Xenopus tropicalis: one gene and its partner. The protein of the gene in region 1 purifies or fractionates together with the protein of each later gene. This does not show direct contact. Links are inferred from orthologs where the notes say so. Each region holds a gene or a part of one and is shown in the gene's direction. Other genes may lie near its edges.

Evidence for each region.
Region 2: the proteins of atxn7l3 (region 1) and taf10 purify together in Homo sapiens (affinity purification with mass spectrometry; 7 studies listed by BioGRID and IntAct, with this or other methods). This does not show direct contact. The link is inferred for Xenopus tropicalis from reciprocal best matches to the Homo sapiens genes ATXN7L3 and TAF10.

Annotation. Positions count from the first base shown.
Region 1 is NC_030686.2:18,489,156-18,494,513, reverse strand, and holds the end of atxn7l3 (ataxin-7-like protein 3), read left to right. Parts: intron 1-1,302; coding exon 1,303-1,371; intron 1,372-1,880; coding exon 1,881-1,924; intron 1,925-2,049; coding exon 2,050-2,121; intron 2,122-2,514; coding exon 2,515-2,648; intron 2,649-2,927; coding exon 2,928-3,070; 3' UTR 3,071-4,631; downstream 4,632-5,358. UniProt on the Homo sapiens protein: Component of the transcription regulatory histone acetylation (HAT) complex SAGA, a multiprotein complex that activates transcription by remodeling chromatin and mediating histone acetylation and deubiquitination.
Region 2 is NC_030678.2:177,469,578-177,475,613, reverse strand, and holds taf10 (transcription initiation factor TFIID subunit 10), read left to right. Parts: upstream 1-2,439; 5' UTR 2,440-2,450; coding exon 2,451-2,619; intron 2,620-3,670; coding exon 3,671-3,822; intron 3,823-4,056; coding exon 4,057-4,121; intron 4,122-5,051; coding exon of another isoform or gene 5,052-5,084; coding exon 5,085-5,199; intron 5,200-5,575; coding exon 5,576-5,665; 3' UTR 5,666-6,030; downstream 6,031-6,036. UniProt on the Homo sapiens protein: The TFIID basal transcription factor complex plays a major role in the initiation of RNA polymerase II (Pol II)-dependent transcription.

The DNA of each region.
Region 1 (5,358 bases):
GCATAAGTGTGCACACCCTTAAACTAATACTTTGTTGAAGCACCTTTTGATTTTATTAAAGCACTCAATCTTTTTGGGTATGAGTCTATCAGCATGGCACATTTTGACTTTGCAAGATTTGCCCACTCTTCTTTGCAGAAACACTCCAAATCTGTCAGATTGCAAGGGCATCTCCTGGGCACAGCCCTCTTCAGATCACCCCACAAATTTTCAATCGGATTCAGGTCTGGGCTCTGGCTGGGCCATTCCAAAACTTTAATCTTCGTCCAGATTAACATTTTTGGAATTATGGCCAAAAAGTTCCAACTTGGTTTCATCAGACCATAACACCTTTTCCCACATGTTTTTGTGAGACTTCAGATGTGTTTTTGCAAAATGTAGCCTGGCTTGGATGTTTTTCTTCGAAAGAAAAGGCTTTCATCTTGCCACTCTACCCCATAGCCCAGACACATGAAGAATACGGGAGATTGTTGTCACATGTACCACACAGCCAGTACTTGCCAGATATTCCTGCAGCTCCTTTAATGTTGCTGTAGGCCTCTTGGTAGCCTCCCTGACCAGTTTTCTTCTCGTCTTTTCATCAATTTTGGAGGGACGTCCAGTTCTTGGTAATGTCACTGTTGTGCCATATTTTCTCCACTTGATGATGACTGTCTTCACTGTGTTCCATGGTATATCTAATGCCTTGGAAATTCTTTTGTACCCTTCTCCTGACTGATATCTTTTAACAATGAGATCCCTCTGATGCTTTGGAAGCTCTCTGGGGACCATGGCTTTTGCTGTGGGATGCAACTAAAAAAAATGTCAGGAAAAACCAACTAGAGCAGCTGAACTTTATTTGGGGTTAATCATAGGCACTTTAAATGATGGCAGGTGTATGCTGACTCCTACTTAACATGATTTTGAATGTGATTGCTTAATTCTGAACACAGCTACATCCCCAGTTAGAAGAGGGTGTGCACACTTATGCAACCACATTATTTTAGTTTTTTTTGGTTTTCTTCCCTCCACCTTAAAGATTTCAGTTTGTTTTTCAATTGAGTTTATAGGTCACATTAAAGGTGGAAAAAGTTCTGAAATGATTTATCTTTGTCTCATTTTTGTACAGCACAGGAACCTGACATTTTATCAGGGGTGTGTAGACTTTTTATATCCACTGTATCTTGGGTCTCAGTCCAGACCTGGCAAAGAGACTATAAATCTGTGCCAGCACAGTTTGCAGAAAATATAAAGGTATAATGGTTCTTTGCACAAATATATGTTCCTTTCTGCACTGATACTAATGCTTCTTTCCCTTTTCAGTATAATAGCAGTTCAGGGATTAGTTATGAGAACCTCGGCCCAGATGAGCTTCAAACACTTCTAACCACGGTAAGCACCCTACAGTCACTGAACTATAAGTCAAAATACTAGAGATCCAGTCCCTTTCAATAAGTGCATGAAAATGTCATGGAACCATTGGGCAAGAGAGGGGGAGAGGGTTTTGCATATGTATTCAAAGGTACTGAAGAGCTTTGCTTTGAAAGGTTCTGTTAAGGATCGAAACGTTGGACTAATTTTGTGCAATGTGTTAGCAATAAAGCTGTGATTTTTTTATAGGGTGTGCCAGTCGTAAAATAAATTCTAGAGGGCACACTCCAAAAACATCCTACTGCCTGGGTGCCAGGTCAAGTGGTGAAGTACAAAAAAGGTAGAGAGGACTTTGAGAAATAACACAATATTTTTGTTAGTGCAATATATAATTTTATTGCAGTATTAAAAATATTGTTATTTTTCAAAGTCCTGTGAGTGCTGTGGTAGAGCTGTACATTATAATGCAATCCAGTTGTATGGCACCCACTGGGAAAGCTGTTAATTCATCCCTTTTTATTTCTCCATAGCAATGCGGGGTTATATCGGAGCACACTAAGAAGATGTGTACCAGGTCAGTCATTGTAATACTGTGCTGGTGTTCCTATGCCACTGACTTCTGCTTATTGCTCATGAACCACAAAGGCAAAACTGATTTCCTCAGTTTGTTTTTCTCATCAGTATCTGTTTTCTCTTTAGATCGCATCGTTGCCCCCAACACACAGATGACCAGCGCCGGTCTGTGAGAGTCTATTTGCTGGGCTCCTCTGCGTAAGTGCCCAACTGACCACATAACTCCATAAATCTGATAGGAGCACAGACAACAGGATGCGTAGCAGTGTCTCCCTTCCTTCTTGGTACCTCTAGGACTGTACTGGGCAGGGACATTTTCCTAGCTTTTGCAGTTACATAGGGATTTTTTATGACGGTTCTAGAGTACAATCCCCACTGGGATCACTATGACTGGACTGAATGAGGGTTCTTCATCCTTCTCCAGTTTTGCTGATTTGTTTAGCAACCGCATACTGTGACATTTTCACCTTCATAAAACTGGAGCCTGCTTGCTCCTAGCCTATACCTATAGGACTGCACAGGGCAAAAGACACACAACCTGTTTGTAAGGCTAAGCATTACAGATGGTGCTCTCCCCTGCCTCCCTACCAGCTCTCTCCCCGAGGCTGACGGCAGTACGGATAACGACAGCTTCGATGTGGTGGAGGGACAGGCACTGATGAGTCGGCTGCAGTGGGATGGATCATCTGACATTTCTCCTTCCGATTCTGCGTCCTCTAAAGCCAGTAAGAGACCCAGAGGCAGGGGGGAGGATATGTGGTAATTGTGATGCAGCAAGGTTTGCCCAATCCCCTTCTTGTGGTCAGTGTTGTAAATGAGCAATATAAGGCCAATGTCACACTGTTTCTGTTTGAATGCGCTCTCATCTTCTTGTGCCTGTTGGTTGGTTGCTTGTGCTTTCCAACTGTGAATTTTTTGTATTACTCTTGCGCTCATCTATATGCTTTTCCCTTTTTCCTCTTCCTTACTATCCTACCTATCCTCCTGTATTCCTCCCTGCCTAGGTACAAATAACTCAGACACTCGCAAGCCTAAGAAAAAGAAGCCAAGTCATGTCAGCCTGGCAAGTGGAGGTGGCACAAGCAAGAAGAAGAAACCTAAACCTCCTGCCCCTCTGACACCAGGAATGTACAGCGAACTCAATTGAACATAGTGGACCAAGGAGTGCTATACATAGTCAGACTGGGTGCCCAAATATACATGCACTGTTCTCTCGGTATATTTATATATCCCATGGAGACAAATGGGCGTAATGCCAGGTGTACCCCTAAATAAATAAACCCTTGAATGTGAATATTATCAGGTCTGGTAAGAACTATGTTAGAAAAAAAGAGGATCCAAAATATACCTCGCCCAATGCGGTTTATTCCTTTCCGCAAAACAAATACTGGACCCAATTTTGCCGTATTTACTGTCTCTTCCTGTCCCACTTGCAGTGCCTGTGCCAGGTATGGAGAGCAGTTGTGACTGTCATATATGTATACATGCATACATATATATATGATCTAATGGGAATCCTCAGGTCAGCCTGGATCTTTCTACTGTGTCAAGAGGGTGCCTGCTGCTGCTTCCTCTACTGACATTGGATCTTGCCATCTGGAGACAACTTTCCAACAGAACCGAGGCGTGAACTTCCTGAAATGGGACTCTGAGACACGAGCCACCAAGAAGTTGCAGGAACCACCTCCCCCCCCCCCCCCCCCCAGTAACATGAACATAGGCATGATGTGTGCTGCTTCTGGTATCATTTCTGTTACATAGTATATGGGTGCAGGCCGCCTGCAGTACCTCTGGCAGCAAATCGATTCATAGATCTTGCACGTTTAATGAAATTATACTCAGTATTTCATCAGGCACAGATTTACTAAATCTTACAGGATGAGGCGAGGGGGTTTTGGGGGAGGTAAATGCTAAAATGATGACATGATGTGGATCTTGCCATTTAGAATCCTGGAGACTATGGCAGCTGCCAGTTCCATTTTTTTTTTTTTATTATGTGCCTGTGATTTATTTTAGGGGGGAAAGACACTGTGGGAAAGCACCATGGACTGCAGGGTTGTCCAACCTGGACCTGTTGTTGAACTAAAATTCCCAGAATCCTTCAACAGTCAAAGGTGTTGGGGGTTTTAGGATTGGACATGCCTGATGTGGGTTTTTGTGTTTTTGTTTTTTTTACATGGCCAGAGTAATATGGTTTTAAAGCTTTTTCTTTTTTTTCTTTTTTTTTTTTTTTTTTAAAAAAAAGGGGGTCAATCTTAGTAGGAGCAAAGTGACCGATCAACTGTGCCCTTAGTTCTTTTAGTAAATGTTTAATGGGGACAAGCAGGCCTGGACACAGTATTATAACAAATGAGTTGGTGTCTGGGCAAATCCCATTGAGAAGGCTAGTGACCAAAAAAAAAAAAAAAAACCATAAAAAATTCCTATCAGATCAAAGGTTGTACTAGATAGGGCCCTTCGGAGCGGCACCCACTTTCCTCTGGTCACTTTACTCCCTAACAGGGCTGGCCCTGCAACCTCTCATTATGAACTGTATAAACTGATTTGGAAGTGATGGATGTTATGATTTGTATATCAGGGTCTTCACTAACGTGTCCTTTTCCTTCCTTAATATAGGGGAAAAAAAATTCTTTAAAAAAAAAAAAAATGCCAATGCCAATATGCATCTGTAAATTGTGTGTGGAATAAAAGCCTGTGCTGGTAAAGAGCCTGCTTGTGGTTTCCTGTGTTTCCCCCCTTAGAAGGGAAAACCCTAATGGCAGAGACACTAAGTGGCATTTCTGTGTTGTCTGTGCCAGTAGTCCTTGCTTCTTGCCATTTAGCTCACTGGATGTAAGGTAGCCATACTTGAGCCAATAAAACTGCAAACTCAGGCCTTCACTGTCTCATGTATTGTGACATTTGGCCAGATATATGCCTGCCTGATAATCATGTCAGCCAAAAATTAAATGACCACGTTGATGCAGCCCAGGTTTTCCTTGGCTCAAATTATGATCTGATCTGGCCTGGGAGCCAACCATAACAGTAATCTCAATTTGGCCCAGAGTAAGAATGGTTGGGCAACCTCACATATGCCCAGCTATATGCCCAGCTTTAGTCAGCAGTAGCACTGTAAAGGTGGCCATACATGGAAGATTGAAGCCAATTCAAGTCCTTTAGACCATTTCGACAGCTTATCTTCCCATGTATGGGCCTCCCTTATTGATATATGCCCGAAAATCGCAGGCAGGTTTGATTTTCCTGTTGGATCAGGGACAGCGTTGGCTTACTGATGCAGTCCTCAGCCCAAATTCAATCCTAGGGCCAAGAATTGAGGAAGGGTTGCATTTGGAACTGACACACTTAGGTGTGTTTAAAAAAAATGCATATAAATATAATATGCGTTTTATGCGCTCAGCATGCCTTGCCCACATGTAAGAGCCCTTAGGCAATAAA
Region 2 (6,036 bases), on another chromosome or scaffold:
CCAAGAACAGGGGGAGGAGCAAGACACGAAAGGGGCGGTGCAGGAGGCAGACAGGGGGGAGCAGCAAGACAGGGGGGGGAGCAGACAGGGGAGGGATGAGAAGGGGACAGACAGGGGGGGAGCAAGCAGGGGGGGAGACGGGGGCGCAGACAGGGGGTGCAACGGGGGGAGCCAGGGGGGGGGCAGACGACTGAGCACCAGACAGGGGGATCCGCTCTGGGACCTGTATAGTCAGTGCCTGTATGGGGCCACAGTCAGGAATCCCTTGGGGTAAGGGCTCTGGCACACAGGGAGATTAGTCGCCCGAAACAAATCTCCCTTATCACAGGTGACTAATCTCCCCGAACTGCCATCCCACTGGCAAAAATGTAAGTCACCAGTGGGATGGCACACGCTGCGCAGGCAACTTTGTTGCCTCGCGTGTGCCAGAGCCCTAAGGGGGGGGTGTAAGTGTAGATCCCCCACTGAGTATATATAGAAATGTCACTGGGGGCAGAGACCCCTTACTCCACTGCCCCTACACACAATACATCAGGGCACAGGAGTGTGTTAGTTACTGACGGCGAGTGTGTTAGTTACTGACGGCGAGTGTGTTAGTTACTGACGGCGAGTGTGTTAGGGCGAGTGTGTTAGTTACTGACGGCGAGTGTGTTAGGGCGAGTGTGTTAGTTACTGACGGCGAGTGTGTTAGTTACTGACGGCGAGTGTGTTAGTTACTGACGGCGAGTGTGTTAGTTACTGACGGCGAGTGTGTTAGGGCGAGTGTGTTAGTTACTGACGGCGAGTGTTAGGGCGAGTGTTAGTTACTGACGGCGAGTGTATTAGTTACTCACGGCGAGTGTGTTAGTTACTGACGGCGAGTGTCTTAGTTACTGACGGCGAGTGTCTTAGTTACTGACGGCGAGTGTGTTAGTTACTGACGGCGAGTGTATTAGTTACTGACGGCGAGTGTATTAGTTACTGACGGCGAGTGTGTTAGTTACTGACGGCGAGTGTATAGTTACTGACGGCGAGTGTCGTTAGTTACTGACGGCGAGTGTGTTAGTTACTGACGGCGAGTGTTATAGTTACTGACGGCGAGTGTGTTAGTTACTGACGGCGAGTGTATTAGTTACTGACGGCGAGTGTATTAGTTACTGACGGCGAGTGTATTAGTTACTGACGGCGAGTGTGTTAGTTACTGACGGCGAGTGTATAGTTACTGACGGCGAGTGTGTTAGTTACTGACGGCGAGTGTGTTAGTTACTGACGGCGAGTGTATAGTTACTGACGGCGAGTGTATTAGTTACTGACGGCGAGTGTATTAGTTACTGACAGTGAGTGGGTTAGTTACTGACAGTGAGTGGGTTAGTTACTGACGGCGAGTGGGTTAGTTACTGACAGTGAGTGGGTTAGTTACTGACAGTGAGTGGGTTAGTTACTGACAGTGAGTGGGTTAGTTACTGACAGTGAGTGGGTTAGTTACTGACAGTGAGTGGGTTAGTTACTGACGGCGAGTGTATTAGTTACTGACAGTGAGTGGGTTAGTTACTGACAGTGAGTGGGTTAGTTACTGACGGCGAGTGGGTTAGTTACTGACAGTGAGTGGGTTAGTTACTGACAGTGAGTGGGTTAGTTACTGACAGTGAGTGGGTTAGTTACTGACAGTGAGTGGGTTAGTTACTGACAGTGAGTGGGTTAGTTACTGACAGTGAGTGGGTTAGTTACTGACAGTGAGTGGGTTAGTTACTGACAGTGAGTGTAAAGAGACCCCCATAATGGCTGCCTGAGTGGAGGCGGGGGGGGGGGGGGTGGATCAATAAAAAGAAAGTCCCAGCTCCCGGGAGGCGGACACTCACCCACTTGCTCAGTGAATCAATGTCGGAGCAATTTGGATCCGGTTTTCACTCTTGTGGTTTCCCAGTCCGTTTTCGGTCTGCGAACTCCGCCATATTGCTACACCCAAATACTGGCCTCAAGCAGCCCCTGCCCCAGGGTAAAGTCCAGCCCGCCGGCTCCTAACAGCCCCGGTTTGGTTGCCTGTGGCGCTTTTCACGCTCAGAAGAAGGAGTTGGTGTCGCGCCTCACTGTCAGTCTGACTCCCATGCACTTCGCTAAGCTCATTTCCGTGTGTAGCAACATGGCGGCACTCTAGCGTGCCTCAGCACGTAACCAAGCGACATCCAATCACAGTCTGGCTTTGTTCAAATCCTAACGCAGCTTTGCTATCACCGCTTTGATTGGCAACATTTTAAGCCAGTAAATGGCCGCGCCCTGGCAGGTAGCCAATGGGCTTTCTACGTAAGGTTATGTTTCTCCTGAGCTGTGTAGCTGCCGCATTGGCCGGTAGGGGGCGCTGGGACACGCCTTGCAGGAAGATGGCGTAAAGGCACTGCCCGTTGTTTTGGGGAGGAGATTAAGTGGAGGAGCTGTTTCCGGGTGTTGACGGAAGTTCCTGTCCAAGGGTGAAGATGAGCGGGACGGAGACAGCGCCAGACTCTCTATCTGCTATTGCCTCAGTCCAGCCCGGTCCGGCCCCAGAGAGTAAGCCCAGCCCGGCAAACATTCCCAAACCCGGGCCTGCCGCGGCCTCTGCAGCTGCTCTACCCGGGAGGGACACGGGGGAGCGAAGAGCCAGCGGTGAGCGGCAGCAACTGAACCGGAGAGGGAGGGGGGGGTACTCACAGGGGACTGGGACTCCAGGAAAGGCCTGGGGAGAGAAACCCAAGCATGGAGGGGAAAGGGAGAGCCGGGGGGGCAGCTGGAGCAGAGAGGGGCCCGGGGGGGGCAGCTGGAGCAGAGAGGGGCCGGGGGGGCAGCTGGAGCAGAGAGGGGCCCGGGGGGGCAGCTGGAGCAGAGAGGGGCCCGGGGGGGGCAGCTGGAGCAGAGAGGGGCCGGGGGGGGCAGCTGGAGCAGAGAGGGGCCGGGGGGGCAGCTGGAGCAGAGAGGGGCCCGGGGGGGGCAGCTGGAGCAGAGAGGGGCCGGGGGGGCAGCTGGAGCAGAGAGGGGCCCGGGGGGGCAGCTGGAGCAGAGAGGGGCCCCGGGGGGGGCAGCTGGAGCAGAGAGGGGCACCGGGGGGGGCAGCTGGAGATGAGAGGGGGCCCCGGGGGGCAGCTGGAGCAGAGAGGGGCCGGGGGGGCAGCTGGAGATGAGAGGGGCCCGGGGGGGGCAGCTGGAGCAAAGAGGGGCCCGGGGGGGGGCAGCTGGAGATGAGAGGGGGCCCCGGGGGGCAGCTGGAGATGAGAGGGGCCGGGGGGGCAGCTGGAGATGAGAGGGGCCCCGGGGGGCAGCTGGAGATGAGAGGGGGGCCCCGGGGGGCAGCTGGAGATGAGAGGGGGGCCCCGGGGGGCAGCTGGAGATGAGAGGGGGGCCCCGGGGGGCAGCTGGAGATGAAAGGGGTCCCGGGGGGCAGCTAGAGAGGAGGGGGCTGTCATAGCTGAGAATTGCCCTTTGCTAGGGCAGGGGGTAGGAGTGGTGCCGGGGGTGAGAAGGGGAACGTATGGAAGGAGCTGGGTGAATGGACCTGTTTCGGGGCAAATGGTGCCCACTGGGTTGTACAATGGGGAGTACAGTTTGGGGACAGATAGGGTGGGGGGGTATTTGGAGAATTGGGCGCAGGTAAGTGCCCGGCTGTGTGACTATTGCCCAGTCCTTTCCAATTCCAATGTATGTTCTGTTATTGATCCTCCAGTCCCTGCATCAGCGGCTGCTGCCCCCTCCGAGGGATCCCTCTCTAATGGCGTGTACCTGCCCCCGGGGGTGGCAAATGGCGATGTCAAACCTGTCATTTCCACTACCCCCCTGGTGGATTTCCTGATGCAGCTGGAGGACTATACCCCTACGGTAAGTGTCCCTTGGGTCTGTATGGGAAATGCTGTGCCCTAGGGTACTGGGGGGGGGCAGTGCCAGGCATTTGCCCCACCTTACACAGTGTCAGGGTGCAGCTTGTGCCTACAGAACATCATTTCTCTGTATGTATGTATATCTGTTGGTGGGAGCTGCCATATTGTTTCCCTGTATCATTGCTTGTATCTGTTCCAACATTTGCTTTACATTCCTTCTCCCGATTTCCTGCAGATCCCAGATGCCGTCACTGGATATTACCTGAACCGGGCCGGGTTTGAAGCATCCGACCCACGCATGTAAGTACAACTCCTGCTGCCATACGTTATTGGCCCGTGGGTACCGGAGCTTCTCAGAGCCCTGTAGCAGTTGCCTCGACTAGGAAGAACCTTCCCTTATTCTGGCCAGCCTGTAGCGCTAGGTTATGGGCCGCCGTGGCCAGTAGCCGTTTGCTCTGTGCCTACCAGGAGAGCTGACAGTCACGCTTATGGCCACAGCAACTGGAGGCCTAAATAGGGGTTAAAGTGCCCGTTCTGGTGCTGCCATTCCGTTATATGTATTATCCCTCTTTATTATTGTTTATCTTGCTTTCTAGGAACTGTAATGTAATTGGTGGAGACTCGTTTGGTGAGATTGCCAAATGAGCGGATCTTCTCCACCTACAGTGGGCAATACCGGGCTAGGGCCAAACCATCGCAATGGCAGATATCGGTTGGGTAGGCCCGTCGGGGGGTGCCCATACACGGGCAGATAAGCTGCTGAATTGGTCTGAAGGACCCGAATCGGCCCTTAAAGGAAAAGTAACACTAAACATTTTTAACTAAAAAATCTATTCTGCCCTCCCCCAATAATTGCCCTATCCTGAAATCCATTTGTTATTGTGAATGCATCAACTATGCGGTGATCGACTGATCGAGCCTAGCCTGACTCATTCCTATATACAGAAGTCAGGGGCTAGATCAGTCGATCACCGCATAGTTGATGCATTCACAATAACAAATGGATTTCAGGATAGGGCAATTATTGGGGGAGGGTAGAATAGATTTTTTTAGTTAAAAATGTTTAGTGTTACTTTTCCTTTAACCCTAGCAACCAATCAGAGTTGCTTTCATTAGTCTTACTGCAGTTATCCAATCAGGCCTGTATGGTGATTACTATGAGTTCAGCACAGCATCTGTATTGACTTCGCTTATTTTGAATTTCACACCGGATCCTCTCGATCTCTGTAGTGATCCGCTGACCCCACCGCTTGTCTCTCCTAGAATCCGGCTGATCTCCTTGGCATCTCAGAAGTTCATCTCTGACATTGCAAATGACGCCTTGCAGCACTGTAAGATGAAGGGGACGGCCTCCGGGAGCTCTCGCAGCAAAAGCAAGGTACCCCGCCAGCAAATGCCCTTCAGTGGGGCTATTGTGCCCAAGGTGCCCCTTTGTTCCGCCCAATGTTACAAGCAGCCAGTGAGAGAGCTCCTAGATCTCCTATACACATCTAGGTATGGGCTGCACCCAATAGAAATGAATGTGCCCTCACATTGCTGCTCCATAGTCAGGGCTGGGGGGTAAGTATGTAGGGAGCCGATTGGATAATGATTTTGGGGGTGGGGGTAGAGAGACCCCAGTAACCCCGAGATGATGCCCTCCTGCTCTAGTCCTGTGTCGGTGCCAAGGCACATACTTGGTACTGTCTGGGTCAGCGCCGGAGATTCTCCCTCTCTAGAGGCACAAGGCAGTCATGTGATTTCTCTTTGGGCAGGATAAGAAATACACTCTCACTATGGAAGACCTGACTCCGGCGCTGGCGGAATATGGCATCAACGTAAAGAAGCCGCACTATTTCACCTAGCGCTTCGGCCCAGCGGGCTTTCCCGTATCCCACGGACTGGCGGCACGGATCTCCATGTTACGCCCGGGGCAAAAGACTTTTAGGTCCCCTGAGGATCTTTATTGGGCTCACGTCATTGGTGGAGAGCCATGATCCACTCACCGAGCTGAACTGTCTCTATTGGGTATTTACCCCCGGGGGGGCATTGCCCAACTCACTGCCAGGAAATATTTGGCTTAATGGGAAGAAGCCCCAGTAATGTAGCAGTGTAAATATAAAGCCTGATTCCCTTCTTCCTGAGATTGCTAGAAAGCTTCATTAACCCCCCACACTTTTTTTTTTTTGTTTTTATTTTTAAGTGCCAACATTTATCTTCCCCCCCCCCCCCCCCC